Linked DNA regions of Lytechinus pictus. The protein of the gene in region 2 purifies or fractionates together with the protein of the main gene of each other region. This does not show direct contact. Links are inferred from orthologs where the notes say so. Each region holds a gene or a part of one and is shown on either strand. Other genes may lie near its edges.

Evidence for each region.
Region 1: the proteins of signal recognition particle 9 kDa protein-like (region 2) and signal recognition particle subunit SRP54 purify together in Homo sapiens (co-immunoprecipitation; 4 studies listed by BioGRID and IntAct, counting the BioPlex papers as one, with this or other methods). This does not show direct contact. The link is inferred for Lytechinus pictus from reciprocal best matches to the Homo sapiens genes SRP9 and SRP54.

The regions. Positions count from the first base shown.
Region 1 is NC_087251.1:23,423,560-23,432,756, forward strand, and holds the start of signal recognition particle subunit SRP54, read right to left. Parts: upstream 4,068-9,197; 5' UTR 3,994-4,067; intron 1,702-3,993; 5' UTR 1,589-1,701; coding exon 1,511-1,588; intron 926-1,510; coding exon 749-925; intron 1-748. UniProt on the Homo sapiens protein: Component of the signal recognition particle (SRP) complex, a ribonucleoprotein complex that mediates the cotranslational targeting of secretory and membrane proteins to the endoplasmic reticulum (ER).
Region 2 is NC_087251.1:596,044-605,297, reverse strand, and holds the start of signal recognition particle 9 kDa protein-like, read left to right. Parts: upstream 1-5,007; 5' UTR 5,008-5,100; coding exon 5,101-5,172; intron 5,173-9,254. UniProt on the Homo sapiens protein: Component of the signal recognition particle (SRP) complex, a ribonucleoprotein complex that mediates the cotranslational targeting of secretory and membrane proteins to the endoplasmic reticulum (ER).

The DNA.
Region 1 (9,197 bases), about 23 Mb from region 2:
GTCTTATATTAAGCCCCATTTATATGTCTGGTAATTCCTGGTCATTACTACATTATATGAACATACAATATGCCTTAAAGCTCTTATGGTGAGAATGATATGAGATAAGAATGTATGTTCGAGTAGATGTAATAATCATAATAACAATAATAAATAATTATAATAATATTAATAACAATAATAATATAGAGCATTTAGAGTGCGCCTTCTATCTAGTTTCCTATTCAGAGGCGCAGAGGGAATTATTACACAGAAGGGGGGGGGGTGTTATTTGAAATATGATGAGAATAGATATGTCTTAAATTTGGCTTTGAATGACTCTATAGACTTGTCATTGCATATTGTCGAAGAGAGTGCATTCCACAAAGTGGGAGCACTATTAGCAAAAGCTTTTTCACCAAATGAGCATTTGACTCTGAGAGTTGTCAACAACCCACTCCCGAAGATCTTAGATTTCTAGAGGATTCATATTCCGAAATAAGATCATTAAAATAATGAAGAGCGTAACCATTAACAATTGTAAGTAACAAAATCTTGAATGTATACTACAATTTTACTAGAACATTTGTTTTGATTGGTATGATTTAAAATATACTTTTCCATTATACTTGAACATGAATTCAAACTTCATAAATAATCATCAGATATAAAACAGAATTTTGGGCTTTAACATTTAGATTAAACATTGATAACATAAACCCGAAGCAATTATCATATTAGCAAAATGGCATATTGCTCTGTACACTACCTTTACAAGTTCCTTGAAGACTGCAGTCTGGATCATCTTACGTTTGTTGAGACCAGCTGCCATTTCATCAAAATCAATGACAGATTTGACATTTTCTTTGAGAGCTTTGACAAGTCTGATATTGACATCTGCCTCAAGAAGAGCCCTGCACACTTCATTGAGCATAGAGTTAAGTACCTAGATGGATAAAGAACAGTGATAAAATACATAAAAATGTCAAGCCACAGTAATGCAAATGCTTCTACATATGATTGAAGGTACGACTAAAGATCCGAGTATACATGAATGTTGCAAAATAAAAAATGAACTACGGCCATATGATAGGCTACAAAAAGTAAGCCAAAATATGAGTTTTTAAAAAATTGGGGATTCAGAAGTATCCCTGTATATTCATTTTAATTTGTGTTACATAGTCTAAAAAAGAATGATAAAGTGTATTGATTCTGGATAAGAAAAATCTTCATTATGTGAAAGGAAACATTTTCATAATGTACTTTAAATAGTCAAAATTATCATCTTTTTCATAACATGGGTTCAAAGTTCAATTCTATTCATCACACTATGTTTTTTTCTAATATGAACAACAACAACGACATTAAAGTGCATATTCAAGAACTAAAGCACTATCTACTATTTTATGAAAATAAAGGCTAAACACTCTAAAGAATGCTTCACACAAGGTGTTTTGTACATTATTATATTTTAGTTCATCTTAGCATCTCCTGCAATGCATGTAATTCATAGTAAATTTCCTATACTTACATCTTCATCAATGATAGTTGCATTACTCAATGATTTTAAAGCTGAGGTGATTTTCCTTCCAAGATCGGCTAAAACCATCTTGAAGGAGTGTAAATATCTCCACAGTGAGAAAAATAAATGTCTTGACCTCCAAGCAATATGACCGTCTTCTCCAGTTCCCTACGCACTGAATAAGCTGGTTACAAAAATATCTATTTAAACAAAAGGGGGTGAAAGCATTTTTAGATTGGAATGTATTACTGTTTTAAAACAAAAAATGAAATTTATTAAACAATACATGAAACCAATATAATGACAATCGATTACTACATTCAATTTTAGACTATTGTTATCAATTCCAGAACTGGAAAAACACTGGCCAGATTTTTTTATGACAGTGTTCTTAAGACTTTGTACCTCCGCTGTATACAGAGGCGTCAATCCTGGGGGGGGGGGGCAGGGGGGGCGATCGCCCCACCAATGAAAATATTGGGGGGGGGGCAAACATATCGTTTTGCCCCCCAATAATTCCGCATGTGCAAAAAATAAAATAAGATTGTAATGTTACTCAGAAATCAGCAAGCGATATTAAGATACACAACTCATATTTTATTTAAAATCGTGCTCAAAATGTCCGCTTTTCAGATTCGAATATAAAATTTTTCAGCTCACGCTTTGCGCTCGCATCATTTCTGTAGCAAAAACCCATACTTTTCATGATTAAATAGGTGAACAGAATGTCCAGTTTTCAGTTCTAAACCTCAAAAGAACTCCCGCTTCGATTTGCAATAATCTTTTGTTGGATATATATCTTGTTCTTTATTAAAAACGTCCATTAAACTGTCAATTTTTTCCAGATCGAAATAACAAAATTTTCAGCTCGCGCTTTGCGCTCGCATTTATTCTTTTAGATACCCATCTTAATCATTGGTACCAAAAATGCTTAGAATGTCAAGCTTTCAGGTCAGAGTATAAAGAAATTTCAGCTCGCACTCGCAATATCTGTGTAGTGAGATATGTATCCTCCTCATGAGTTACTACAAACAGTCCTAAACAGGTACCTCTTTCCTGTTTTCAGGTCAGTATAGTATAAAGTTTCAGCTCGTGCTTCGCTTGCATTAATTTGTTGATAAGATATGTGTCTGTTTCTCATGAGTCATATATATATATATATATATATATATATGCATGTGTGTGTGTGGGTGGGTGAGTTTGTTTGTTTTGTGTGATCGAGCGCCTTTGGAACGTTGATTATGATCCAATTTCATAATCGATTATGAGAACAACCTTCATAGCACCAGATACTAACTGTAACTCAGTTTTAGAACAAGGCATCACACACCCAACATAAAAGCATGCACAGCTGCACTCACACGTATTGCGAGGTTAGTATTAGTATACTAACCTCGCACCACGAACCGCGTTTGGCAGTGGATTTCTAACTAGTGGGTCGCTCGTGCTGGGATCTCACTTCTTGGGTCCACAACACACGACTTCAATGGCTTGATTTTCCTGTGCGCGGCGGCATGTAATGAACCCTTGGGTGGCACAGCTGTAATTCACATTAGATCTGTTATGATGGGGTGACCATTATTTGCACACATTTTAAAAATTATCATGAAGTTGATTTTCAATCAAAAATTTCTCACAGCTCACACAAAATTAATCAAAATCATAAATGCCAAACGGAAGGCAAGATCCTAAAGTCAAATTCGCTTGACGGAATTATAAAGTAGGTCGAGGGTTTCGCTGGTATAGCGATCTCAAAATTCCATGGTGATCGACTAGTGCACGCTCGGCTGAAAGTGACATAAAAAAGTGTGACCTTATTTAAAACCATCGTGCGCAAATTAAGGTCCTTAATTTGCGCACGATGGTTTTCAAGGCTTTAGAAACGAAATCAAGCAGATAAAGGTATGATAATCATATCACATGGACTGGAGGTTAAAATGCCATAAAATCGGCTGGTATCCATTTTACTTACTTATTTGGAGACCTCTGCTTGCAAACTGGCGATTTCTTGATGCTTGTCGAGAAGGTCGGATTTTCTCGGAGCGGGCGCAAAACAAGTAACCAAATCAAATTTGCCGATGTTTTGCCAATATTTTCCTTAATAATAGAGACCTTACCTTCAAGAAAATTATCTCAATAGGTCATTTTCAGTCGCTCTTTCTGTTGGCGATATCAGTTTTTCAACATATTAATTAGATATTGAGATATTCGACCGTGCGCAAAATTAGGTAACGCGCGAATTAAGGTCACACTATCATAAGGTTTTAAGGGCATACTTTTCATCTGGCTCAGGTCCCATGCATTGATTTCCGTGCGGTAAGAACACTTCTTTTAAAATGTTCACACAGCTGTGGTACATTTAGAAGGTCCATCTTCTCGCAATTCATTTGAAAACAACATAGAAATATTGAAAATGTTTCTTTTACGAAACAAGGACGAATTGGTATTATTTAAGTAGGATATTTGCACATATTCAATAACAATTCTATTACCTTTTTCTTCCGACTTGGAACCGAGAATTCATCAGATACGTGTTATTCACAATCAATGTGATCGTAAGTGGCGCTATACCAAAACAAGTCTAGTCGCTCATCAACTAGTTGGAAGGGTTGGTTCATATTTAATCATTAAATATGATTAAATATGATTTATTTTGAAAAATTACTGCATTGTTTACTCAAGCCCGCCAGACGGATAGATAAGGTGGCTTGGATCAAATACTTTTTTTCAGAACCTCACTTTATGCAGAAATCACAATGTGTCGAAAGTGACAGTCTTGTTTTCCATAATGTTCACTGACAGCAAAAATTATCACCCCCATATTTTCCAAATTTGTCTACCCGAGTCTCTAAGTCCAATTCCTTATTTTTATTCAAAAGAAAAAGAAGCTCATCAACTAACTCAGTACCGTATATGAATGCGGCCTTAGAAGTTGAATATTAGTCCTGTGCTATTGATGTATTATGTGAATTTTCCATGATCATTCCTGTTGCATTTTAGCAGATTCTAGTAGAAAATTTGCATGTGCGAAATCAATATTTTCATTACAAGTGGCGACAAGACCGCGACAAGATCTCCCTTGCTAATACTTGGACATACATGTAGAATGTAGCACTCAGACAGTAGTTCTGTGCCCTGTGAGTAAAAAAAATATGTTTAATTGTGTGTATTTTGACAAAATTTTAGTTAAGATAATTCAAAAGATTATTTTGGGATGCAGTTCTGTCATCAATTTCTTTTAAGTTGTATGACTTACTGGAATTTAATTTTCCTTAAAATAGAATGACCAAAGTTCGTGATATTGTTTTGAGTAAATGTCTCGTAGGACACCATCTTGTCATCGTCATCAACATCAGAAACGTCATATAATGCAATCCATTGCCACCATGGGGGAAACAATATGTATTCTTATTGAAAATTCAAATTTTTGATGAAAAGTTAAGCGAATGACGTCTTCTTGAAGGCGGGAATCTCCACTTAGACAACATCATCTTAAAAATCTTGCTATTTCGATTCCGAATCCCGCTAAAAATAATGAATGTATATGATTAATAATTGGTACGCTGAATAATTATAATGGTTTTAAAACCACCAATAATTTTGAAGGGTTATCCACCACAAAAAAGTTGATTATATAGAAAGATTTTTAAAAAATCATCATTAAAATCGGATGTAAAGTACATTTTTTCTGTTGCTTAATTTCAGAAATGAGTTAAATGCACATGTTGGTCGGTATACAAATAAGAAACTGATGATATCACTAACTAACTATATTATTTTGTATTTATTATAAGAAATAAAGAAATATCGACATATTTGATTTTTTCCTAATTACAATGTGAAACAAAATTTAATTTAATCTCTGAACATGTGGAAATTGAATTTATTTTAACCTATTAATGATTTAATAAGAGTTGTCTTATTGTCAAATCTGCAAGAAGAGACATTGAAACACCTATAAAATACAAATAAATTGTAGTCATTTGCATATCACTATGTTGTGCATACATGTTTTGTGAACTTAAGCAAAATATTAACAAAACTTACATTAGTTTAATTTGTCTTATTTTATTCAAATCATTTCTTGTTGGGGACGGGAAGACGAATACGATACTTCTGCTAAATAAACCACTTCCTTTACTCCGGAGTTTCTCTGATTACCCCATCTTTTGACCGATAGCATACATTCCGTCGTCCCTATTATGCTCGGAGATTTCGTTGTTTTTTGTTTTGTTTTGTTTTCGGGGGGGGGGGGGCAGCTGGGCGTGAGACCGGGACGACCCTCTCCCATGGACTGCTGTAGAAAATTCAAAATTCTAGGTGCCTCCCCTCCCCATCCCCACCCAAATTATAAGATATAATCTACCAAATGAGTGTACTGTTGGTGGTTATCCAGAAAATTATCCATATCATTTCCAAGTGTTTGCTGAGTAAAGATATATTTATGACATCCAGTTCATGATCCAGTGAACATGGTGAATATCAGACATTGTAAACTTGCGGAAAAGTAATCCCATTTGAAAGCCGTCATTCTTTCAACAATTGAATGAGACATTATTGAATATTACTACAAAATAGATTCTTTTGGCTACCGTTCGAATCCCAATTATGAATTATTATCATTGCTCATAAAATGGAATGTGTCCTTTGCGATGCAGAAAATCGATTCAATGTACACAATAAAGTCTGATAATGTCCATCGCTCTTGGTATTATTTCAAAAGAAGCAGTCGAAAAAGCGTTTTGTCATTTACATAATGCCTTGAATAATAGGCACACAATATTGCCAGGCGCGGATCCAGGAGGGGGCCGAGCCGGCCCCGGCCCCCCTATTTTTTGACAACCTGCAGAAAAAGTGTACTATAGGAAAAACACTAAAGAAAAGTAGGAAAGAGGTATCATATCCAGGATGTGTAATTTACAACCTCGTAACGGCCGGCCCGACCCCGAAAGGAAACAAGAAAAGGGTGAGGGGAAGAATTGGAAAAAGAACTTGATATAAAAAATTTCGCTCGCGCTTCGCGCTCGCATTGCCTGTGCCAATGAATCCCATTCAAGAGGATTAAATGACACTTATATATCCAGATCTGAAATCAATTTGCACACAATATTTTAGCTCGCACATCAAGCTTTAATTATTTTGTTTGTTTTACACAAATTGTTTATATCAAAATTTTCAGCTCGCGCTGCGCGCTCGCATTGTTTGATTTGTGAGTTACCTATCCTCTTTGGAAATTCTTACAAAAATTTGTCAAAATGCTCCTTTATCATGTCAGTATATAAAAAAATTGAGCTTGTGCTTCGCGCTCGCATTTAATTGTTTGGGACACACAGCTTTTTCTGTATTTAAATAAAAAAAACGCGCTTAGACTGTCCAGTTTTCAGGTCGGAATATCAAAAATTTTGAGCTCGCGCTTCGCACTCTCATTATTTAATTGGTGATACTTGTATCCTCTTCATTAATCACTAAAAACAGTCCTAATTGAGTCCCTTTTCACGTTACTATGATAAAATTTCGGTTCGCGCTCGCATTGTTTAGTTGGATACTTATCTTTTTCATGATTATAAAATCTCCTCAGAATCTTTAGGTCTAAGGACATAAAATATCAAAGAATTTGAGCTCGCGCTTCGCGCTCGCATTATATATTAAGACCACATGAGATACCTTATCTTGTTTATAACAATAAAAACTAACATATACTTAAAACTTCAGTCTCTAGTTAGGACTACCCCCTGAACCCCCCCCCCCAAAAAAACAGATTATAGCGGCCAATCGAGAAAAATGTTGATGAAAATTTTTTTCGGCCCCCCCTATTGGCGAAAGCTGGATCCGCCCCTGATTGCAGTCATACCATCATAATGCTACAGGACACGGCAAAATAATTTCGTGTAAGAGCGTGTTTAATTATAAAGGAACCTCATGAATCATGTCGCATTGTTGGCGTGATATTCCCCCGTGTTCATACCACCATGCAACCTTCAAACATCCAGCCCTTTCACACGATATCGTAATCGTAATTTGAATGAGGCTAATGACACATGTGAATCATAAACGCTAATCACAGTCACGATAATAGCAATCATCATTACAATGATGATTCAAGATTCACGTGTGAAGAGGCCCTTTATCTAATCCAAATTAAGTTCATGCGAGAGTTTAACAATCTTTATCTGATGGGGGGGGGGACTTGGGGCCATGGCCCCCCAAATGACCAAGAAAAAAGGGGGCAAACAAAGAAAAGGAGAAGACAAAGGGTGGAATAGGACATAATAATTTTCTGGATATCATGACAAAATGTATCACTAAAAAAAATAGATTTTCGTATTAAAAAGGTCAGCATTTTTATTTTTAGAAACTTTGCACCGTACGTTATGTCTGACCCCCTCGTTTTTTTTCTTTGCTCATTATACGCCAAGTAAAATGAAACGTGGCGGATGCTAATATCTAGCGTATGATGTCTTCACAGACGCAAAAATCGAGAGGTCCTTTTCCATCCTTTCGATAAATACGGATATGAGTGAATGACTTCTTTTGAGGCATTGACGTTTTATTTGGTTCACCTTAAAATCTTGCTATGTTTCTGGGTCATTCAATCGTGAACACAATATATTTATCTGAGTATCTTCCCCCGAGTCCAGCATTGTCCGGAGGCTGACTGCAATATTCTCAGTTCTAAAATGTCTCTATCTTTTGCTAATAGGCCCTAATTTTTAAACACTCTTGCATTTTAGTGATTATGGGTATACTGTCAGTCCTACCATCCATGGCCCTACACTCATTTGAGTCCTTCTTGTCTATCACAAATTTTAATTCAAGTTTAATGTGTCAAATGTGTAGGCTTATAGTGCAAAAAATAAATTGTAAGCGATTATAATTATGCAACCACACAACAAAGATATAGGCCCACTGGGCAAGCATTCTATAGAGTAAATGTGAATAAAATGTGTGAATAATGCTCATTTTGCCCGATTGCAGAAAATGTTTTTTTACCGATGTAAATACATGTACGCTAATCACATAGGTGGTGCCATTGGCCGGGGGGGGGGGGCGACCCACTTCGTTGTCTCGACTTGGATGATTTTTCTCAACTTATCTAAAGAGGGGGAGGAAGAGAGAAAAAGAATAAAAGACTATTAAAAATTGACGACCGGGTCGTTTATAATACCTCTATATTTTTCAGTTGGCATCTCCTTTAGTTCCTGTCCACCCCCCCCCTTCAAATCACCACCCGTGACGTTGAGTGAAGTTCGTGATCTACTTACGGGATATTACGTGTACTGTCTGTTTGCAGTGCTAACAAACACGCCAAATAAACAATATGGCAGACGGTGTCAGTAGATCTATGGTATAAAGAAATTATCATTCAAAGGATATAAGCTATAATACCGAACAAAGCGAATAATTAAAAAGACCTTGACACAAAATTCGTACACTGAATACTACATGCTCTCCCCCAAAGAACAAAGCAAATTGTTTGTTTTCTCCCTTTTTCTCCTATGATGTATTTCTCTATCTATGGACCTTTGAGACCTCTTTGCTGTATTTTTTTTCATTTTCTTCTTTCATCTCTATCTCATTTCTCGACACAAAATGGGGGGGGGGGGGCCCGTCTCCCAGTATTTTATTTTTCAAGTTAGTATTTCAATCATTCTGTGCATGTGATCCATTCTGCTCATTCAACATGATTATATGTTTA
Region 2 (9,254 bases):
GATTTTTTAGCCTACAGCAGCCATTTGCGGGGCGCCATCTTGGATTTTTCTGGTACCCTACACTCTAAATTACAGGGATTTAAAACAAGTCCACATGGACTGTAGTTAGGGACCAATCGAATTCCGGATTTAGTTTGAATCCTTAAGATTCATTTTTAAATCTCGAAAGATTTAAATTTAAATCATTTGAGATTTAAATTTAAGTCGTTAGGATTAAAACTAAATTCAGAAATCGATTGGTCCCTAGCTACAGTCCATCTGGACTTATTTTAAATCCCTGTAATTTAGAGTGTAGATTGCTAATATTCACTTTAACTTGTTTCAACAAATTCGTTTACCCACTGTACCATGGAATATGAAATCAAATAGGATTCTAGCGTATAAAATATCAGTATTGTGTTCTTGTATATAAAATAATGAATGATTTAGTTCCAAATTATTTAAAACCTTTAGTATGTAAACGGCCCGTGAAATACAGGACACGGTATTCTTTACGATGCCCCCTTCAGCTTCCCAAAGCTAGAATTGAACATAAAAGAAAATCTTTCGCATATGTCGGACCCAAATTATTTAATGCACTTCCTTCAAATTTACAAGTTTGTACCTCCTTGTTAGTTTTTAAAAAATTATGCAAAGCCTTTCATACGAATTGATAAAGAGCGAAATGATATTCCATTGATTTACAATGCTATGTATGTTTAAATTGTCACTTCCCACTCTATATTTTGGTGTTAATTGTTTCTGATGTTAGATATTTTGTATTTTGTATTTTTGATGTTGTTTGTTGTTGTTGTTCATAGTTATCTTGACATGTATTTTAAACTGCAGGGCGCCTTTGTAAAACAGTTTTAAGAACTGAACAGGCCTACCCTGCAGTATAAAATAAATAAAACAAAATAAATAAATAAATAAAAATCTATAGGGTGGATAATGAGTGACTTATATCCATTTTCAGTGAATGGCGGTTATCTTGGACGCCATCTTGAAAATAACCACTTTCCCATGTGCGGATTTTGGTAGATTTTTAGTATGTTTTTCCTGAGGTCAAATACTGCCAGAAACAGTTGAAAATCATTTGTTGCAATTTGTTCCGGGTCAAACTATATATTGATCCGTCTATATATTGATTTCTTCATCATTCACCGAGTCATTTAGCCATGTTTCTGTGAAAGCAATGACTGCAAGATTCTTTCTCTTAAACAGAATTCGAAGTTCTGAATTTTTTGGTAGAATAGATCTAACATTTAGATGTACAAAGTGAAGACCTTTTACAGCAAATATGTTTTCAAAATCTTGATAAAGTAAACTTGAATCCTTCGATTTTTGTTGTTGTAAATTTGGCTCTGGAATGTTTTCGGGTACCCGAATTTCTTTCTCACAGTTTACAATAGTATTATTGTAGTCGTCAAATAAAGATTGACAGAAAGATGGTAAAAACAGTTTGAACAAAACCATTCGACATCGGGGCTCAAATATAAATTTGAATATATTTCCAGGCGTATTTCTTGACAGTGAATATCTTACCATCTTTTACAAGTGGAACAAAGAAGGCCGCACTGATTTGATTACTGGTTTTTCGCAGTTTCCACATGGAAACTTAAATTGTGGGCCTGGGTTTGATTCAATATCCCCGGACAATAATAGGAGAAAGAAAACAATGATTTTGGTCACTTCCCTATTCATTAATTCTATGGAAGGGATCCATTTGTTTTGAAAATAATAAATGTACAATTTGGGATATATCATTCTTAAGTTTATTTTTTCATAACAAATCGTTTTGCAGGTAAAGTCGTGCATATAGAACACAGAACTCACCACCCAGGACCAAAATCCAGTTAAAACCAATTAGGGCAAAACCAATTGAAACCAGTTGGCCAACTGGTTTCAATAGGGAAATTGGAACAACTGGTTCCAATTGAAAACCAGTTGCCAATTGGTTCCAGTTAAAAACCAATTGAAAACCAGTTGCCAATTGGTTCCAGTTAAAACCAATTGGGCAACTGGAACCAGTTGGCAATTGTTGTCAATTGGTACGTTCCAGTTGTTCCAATTTCCCTATTAAAACCAATTGAATCCAATTGGAGGCAACTGGTTTCAATTGGTTCCAGTTGAAACCAATTGGAGGCAACTGGTTTCAACTGGAACCAGTTGAAACCAATTGGTTTCCAACTGGATCCAATTGGAACTTCCAGTTGGAACGAACTTAATTAGTTACAAATTAATTAGCATTTGCAGTAACTATTTATCATGCCAACACAGAAGCAGTGTTATATGTCTATTAATACCAATGTAAAGGGCATTGATAAAATACAGACTTCCATGTATATATATTTATATGGAAGATCTTCAAATATATGTACTTTTATTTGATGTAATTTGGTAACAGTTAGTGGTGTACTAATTATCCTTTAATCTGTTTTAATTATAATCTATAACATTTATGAACATGGTTTTCACTGCTAAGTATTCTAAATACTAATCTTTAAAAAGTGTGGTACTTGAAATTGTAAAGAATTAAATAGATACATTGTTAATGATGATTAATCTCATAAAACATTAATCTGTGCACACTGGCAAATAATATGCAAATTAACTGGTTTCAATTGGATCCAGTTGGGTAACTGGAAAATTTCCAATTGGAAACCAATTGGAAATAATTTCCAGTTACCCAACTGGTTCCAATTAGAATTCATTTCCAGTTACCCATCTTTCCAGTTAGAAGTCATCTCAGTTACCCAATTGGTACCAGTTAGGATTTCCAGTTACACAACTGAATGCATGGTTCAAGTTAGGATTTCCAGTTACCCAACTGGTTCCAGTTAGAAATCATTTCCAGTTGGAAGTCATTTCCAGTTACCCAACTGGTTTCAGTTAGGATTTCCAGTTGCCCAACTGGTTCCAGTTAGAAATCATTTCCAATTGGAAGTCATTTCCAGTTACCCAACTGGTTCCAGTTAGGATTTCTAGTTGCCCAACTGGTTCCAGTTGGGATTTCCAGTTACTCAACTGGTTCCAGTAAGAAATCATTTCCAATTGGAAGTCATTTCCAGTTACCCAACTGGTTCCAGTTAGGATTTCCAGTTGCCCAACTGGTTCCAGTTGGGATTTCCAGTTACTCAACTGGTTCCAGTTAGAAATCATTTCCAGTTGGAAGTCATTTCCAGTTACCCAACTGGTTCCAGTTATGATTTCCAGTTGCCCAACTGGTTCCAGTTAGAAATCATTTCCAATTGGAAGTCATTTCCAGTTACCCAACTGGTTCCAGTTAGGATTTCCAGTTGCCCAACTGGTTCCAGTTGGGATTTCCAGTTACTCAACTGGTTCCAGCAGTAAGAAATCATTTCCAATTGGAAGTCATTTCCATGCAGTTACCCAACTGGTTCCAGTTAGGATTTCCAGTTGCCCAACTGGTTCCAGTTGGGATTTCCAGTTACTCAACTGGTTCCAGTTAGAAATCATTCCCAATTGGAAGTCATTTCCAGTTACCCAACTGGTTCCAGTTAGGATTTCCAGTTGCCCAACTGGTTTCAATTGGTTTCAACTGGAAATTGTTAAATTCCAGTTAAAACCAATTGAAACCAGTTGAAACCAATTGAAACCAATTGAAACCAGTTGGAAATCCAACTGGTTTCAATTGGATTTTGGTCCTGGGCAGGTCAAGTGATCTGTTATATACATCAAAATTTCCAATTTCCATCTTTGCCATCATAGTATCATATTCATTCATCAATCAAATATATATGGAGATACATGTGTTAAACCATTAAGTAATGATCTCACTAACAGTAAATAGTCCTGCCACTCTCTTGTCGAAGTCCTCGATCTGGTTGTCTCACCATGCATGCCTTCTGACATCTCCGTGTATGTTGGTCGTAGGAGCAGCTACGTCAGCATAGGACCTTCCATCAAAGAAGTTTGGACGTCGTTATATATGCTTCTGGTTTGGTAAGACACGGCGGATGTAAGGTGGACCCCATCGCATCACGACCTAGGTGCTGCTCGCCGATGTTGTCATTGATGACGAAACCCCATGAGTTTCGCCTCGCAGTATCCCTTAGGTTGGAGTTGACGAAGTCGATCCTCCTCTCATTGCATGGTGCCGCGACTCCCATCGTCTGTGGATGATGCCAGATAGGATGACCTTCAGCCCCTTGCTAGCAGCAATTATATTTCCTATATACGTCCACGATCTTGTTGTGCAGACAATTGAGGCCATCCTTGGTGTAGTTTGTACCGACATGCACAATAACGGTACCGTCGGCACAGGGGTCGGCACGCTCGTTGGATAGACATGGTATGTCTTCGGACCTGGCACCGGGAACGGAACGATCGACATCTCACTTTCATTTTGCTTGCCAGGCGACGACCATCAAATGTTCTTCAACATGGAATCTCCAAACAGTAGCACGTCGGAAAGGGATAAGTGACATATAGGCCTTAATTTTTCAAATGTTATCAGGTTATATCAAAATCTACCACAAACTTTGATTTTTGTAATTAAAATGTCAAATATTTTGCTCGCTCGCTTCGCTCGCTCGCAACTTCTTATTAATTTTATGCCATATGCCGATCAAGCCCCCTCAAATTTTTTGGCTCATTACGCCACTAACACAACCCATTCAAAGAAACAAACAAAAATCAACTTTGAGCGGCCGATCGGGGAAAATATGGCTGAAAAAAATGTCGGCCCCCCCCCCCTATTGGCGGGAGCTGGATCCGCCCCTGTTTTCTGTATCTGTCTTCTTTTCATTTCTTTTTTTTCTTCTTTTTTCTTTTCATTTTTTCCTTTTCTTTTTTTCTTTTTCTTTTCTTTTGTTGTTCTTTTTTTTTCTTGTTAACGATCGTCTCTCTTTTTATTCTGTTTGTTTTTTCTTTCTTTCTTTTCTCTTCATTTGCGTATTAGCCTTTTCCAAACGCTTGTGTGTTGCTGCCCTCTAGCTGGCGCGGCGCCGGCGGCCGGCGATCGATTGGATATGATTTACCGTGTACATATGTACGCGGTATATAGGTATAATATACCAATGTGATGAGGATCAGGGCCGGCGCATAGATAGGACAGGGGAAACTAACTTTGGAGTGTTAAACCATTAATCTAACAAGATGACCTACATAAATTCATGGGAGGAGTTCGTAAAAGCTGCGGAGAGATTATATCTTTCAGATCCAAGCAAGGTAATTTGAAAAGGCCCAGCATAACTTTCCCCAAACGCAAAAACTTAGGCTGGTTATCACCGATACCATTTTGACAGCTGGCATGTGATGTGGCATACGGTACCGGTAGTCGGTACTCAGAGAGAGCTTCGCCGACGTGTCGGCGCCGGAGCTCCTGTAAGTCGGTACCGGTATCTTGGCATGGGCTGGAGTAGACCAAAAGCTTCGGTCTCTGTTATGTTGGTTCAGCTGAACTCCGTTGGCGGCGCTAGTGTAGTTTCGCACCTCCCCGTTTAATGGTTTTCAAACATGTACAATCTCACCCTAAATAATTCACAACCTAAATACTTGCATCTGAGCCTCCAAAGCAAAGTCCAGTAGACTAGAAGTTGAATATTTGCCGTTTTGACACTTTTTTAAACAAAGTTTTACACCTATTTCGGAATCACTCGGTCGCTTGAAGCTCAGCGCTGCACAGAAGCAGTCGGTACGCGTACAGTACCGGTACGTACCACCTAGTGAAGTGTGTGTATTTGAGTTTTGTCAGACGTGTATCAATCAGATATGATTATTTACGTCTGGGACCGACCTTTAACGTCACCATCCGAAAGACGTGACCAGGGCTCGAACCCCGAACCTCTGCATCAATTTGTAACTTCCCCACACAGCTTGGATTATAGGCGCACGCCACAACGCCCAGTTTAAGAAGTGCAAGAAGAGCGAGTTTTTCTATGGTATCTTCAAAAAGATTTTTTTCCCCTCTTTCAGCTTGCACCAAGTATTACGGTAGTGGTTGTGCAGAGTGGTTGATGTTTGTTGTGTGAAGGTGTGTGTGGGGTGTGCATGTGTGTGCTTGTTTGAATGAAATAAGAAATGTGAAAAACCACTACCGTAATACTAGGTGCAAGCTGAAAGAGGGGAAAAAATCTTTTTGAAGATACCATAGAAAAACTCGCTCTTTTTGCACTTCACTAGGTGGTACGTACTGTACGCGTACCAACTGCTTATGTGCAGCGCTGAGCTTGATCAAGCGACCGAGTGATTCTGAAATAGGTGTAACGTTAAAACTTTGTAAAAAAGTGTCAAAACGGCAAATATTCAACTTCTACTGGACTTTGGAGGCCCAGATGCAAGTATTTTAGGTTGTGAATTATTTAGGATGAGATTGTACATGTTTGAAAACCATTAAACGGGGAGGTGCGAAACTACACTTTCACTCGCCAAATACAGAGACCGAAGTTCTAGCGCGATCTGTACAGGGGACTCAATGGCCATATGTTTATGTAGGCCCTATATTTATTATATATAGGCCTACCCGGTATTATAACTAAGTTCGGATAAAACAGGGAGGTGAAGTTGCGCGACAGCCGAGGTAAGTCACTGTTTTTGTTCCTTTTAACTTGATTTTCCCCGTTATTTGGCAATTAATGCCAAGAGGGAATATTAATTTGCATTTCGGACGCGTTAATTTTCAAAAGTTTGATTCATTAAAGACAAAAATTGAAGAGCCCCGACGGGGGGATTTTGCATTGTAAGTCCCCTAATGGTAGCTGCACGATAGCGAGCCGTCTGTGTACGAGGAGAAATAAAAAAAATTAAAAAATAAAAAAAAATCCTCGAAACAGACGGCTGCCAGCTGTCTAGGGCTGGAGTACCTCGAGCGATGATTCGTATAACTATACTAGTATAGTATAGGTTCCGCTTAGGCCCCCATCTCACTAGGAAGGCGATCTGTGTAAATCCCGCAAAGCGTAGCAGATTCTTCCTCGAATTCTATTTTAAGCCTGCGAGGCGATTGCAGTGCATGTGCAACTTCTCTGCGACCGACCTGCGCTGAAGGCGATGGTAATACGCTGATAGTACGACGATGCCACTCTCTTGCCACGATTCAAGGCAGATGTGATGCGCTGCTTCTGCGATCAAAGCGACCGTACAACGAGGCTCATACGCCTATTAGGACCTCAGTACGGTGGTGCTACGAATGGAGCGATTGTGTTTACGTTCATGATGGGCTCTTGAAACGATTTTAAGCAATCGGCATATTAATCGCGGCACATGAGACATTCTTCAGTCGATTGCCGACCAAGAAGGATGTCCAGAATTTGGTTGGACTTATACATCTTAGCATTCAACAACAACATCAGTTCGAAGTTGAATACGAGGACAGGAGAAGGAGGAGGCCAAAGAGATACTGGGTCCGATCCTGGCTGTCACTTATTAAAATTTCATTCAAAAGATGTCGATGAGCCTGAGGGATGCATCCAGAATTTCATAAAAGAGCATAAAAATCTTTGATATTCTGTTTATTTTTTACCACAAAAGTTTGTCACTCAAAATTGTTTGGTAAATTCCTTTCAAATTTGCTGACAAGTAGTCTACTGATGTGAGAGCACTCATAAAAAAAGGGAGGGGGGCACAATGCCAGAATCTCCCTAAAGAGTGCCTTTCCCAATCAATACATTAGTGATCGAATCATTAACAAAATTTGATATTGTCTACTGTCACTGTGGTTAGAATTCAATCTATTTTTAGAACAGTCAATTTATATATTTTTGCAGAGGTAACCCATTTCGTCATCAAGACATGTGAGCGTCTTTTTTCTCTTTCCAGCTGGCTCAGCAGTAAGATTTTCATCCTCCTGTACCCCCTCCTCCTCTTCCTCTACCACCACCATAACCTCTTGTTCTTCCTCTTGGACCGCCGGCATAACAGGGGTAGCTTGGGCAGCTTTCCCTTTTTTTTGTCCTTTTTCTGGGAGGTATGTTTAAAAACGTTGTGGTGTCGCCTCATAATCTGTTGCAAATGTGATAATCCGCCACCATTGGCACGGCGTTTTATAGCAGCGCGGACGGCCGTTGCGCAATCGCTGCCCAGTCATCAGCGGCGCAGCAAAAGCGCAACGCAAATGCCTGCAGCGGGCTGAGAACGTGTGCCACATGCCACCCAAAGAAGAAAGCGTCGCGGTTGAAACGGTGTGAAGCGTGTCGAGCGCAAGGCAGTCGCCTTGTAAACGGAAGCAGCGTAGCAGTATTGTCTTGGGAACGGGCCTGAAAACACGGGCGATAGGTGCCGCTTTTAATGCGTTTTTACTTAGCTTTATGTGTTGGAGCTCCGTTACAGCTACGAATATGTCGTTTGTAATACGCTCATGACTCGATTGTGGAGCGCTTTAGCACCTCCGCGCTCTTGCTACTTAAGTTTTGAACATGTTCAAAATTTTGTGGCGACCAGGAAGATGGTGGCGATCCTTGCCGCTTCAGAAAAGATCAAGGTACGACGGAGAAGATTGAAAAGATCAAGCCACGATCAAGCTACGTTATACCACGCTTTGTCGATTTTTGATGATCGCAGCGGATTCGCCATCTAGTGAGATGGGGGTATTAGACCAAAAGCTTTGGTCTCTGTTATGTTGGTTGTTCCGCTGAACTCCGTTGGCTCCACTCACCAAATACAGAGACCAAAGTTCTAGCTCGATCTGTACAGGGATATGTTTATGACTTGTATTAAGTTCAGATAAACATTTAAACAGGGAAGTGAAGTTGCGTGACAGCCTAAGCATAAGGTAAGCCACTGTTTTTCCCCTTTTAAGTTTTTTTTACCCCTCTTTGGCCTGAAATGCACCAAAACGGGGGAAAAAAAACTTAAAAGGGGAAAAACAAACTGGACCCTCAAAAAAAGGAAAAGTTCTGTCTCGTTCGTTCTCCTGTCAAAATTGAAAACAAAATGGCTGATCGATACCAAAACAAACGCGACATAGACGTCTAAATTTTCCTTTTTTTGAGGGTCCAGTTTGTGCCTCGATGTCAGGATTAGTTTCTCATGATAGACCATCCATATAATCGAGGTAAGTGCATTTATTATTTTTTCCCCTTTTATTTGGAATGCTATTGTGACCACATTCTACCCCATTTTGGAGAGTATATGTTCATGATGTTTGACTAGTATTACACGGACGAGTCCTGGGTTCAGGCCGTAGCCCAGGGTGATCTACTTTAACCCATCAACTGCAACAAGCCGTCTAGATCTACTTTAACCCAGGGAGCTCCGCCCCGCCCCCATTGGCGGAGCAAAAAAAAGAAACAGAAGGGAAAAGAGAGGAGAAA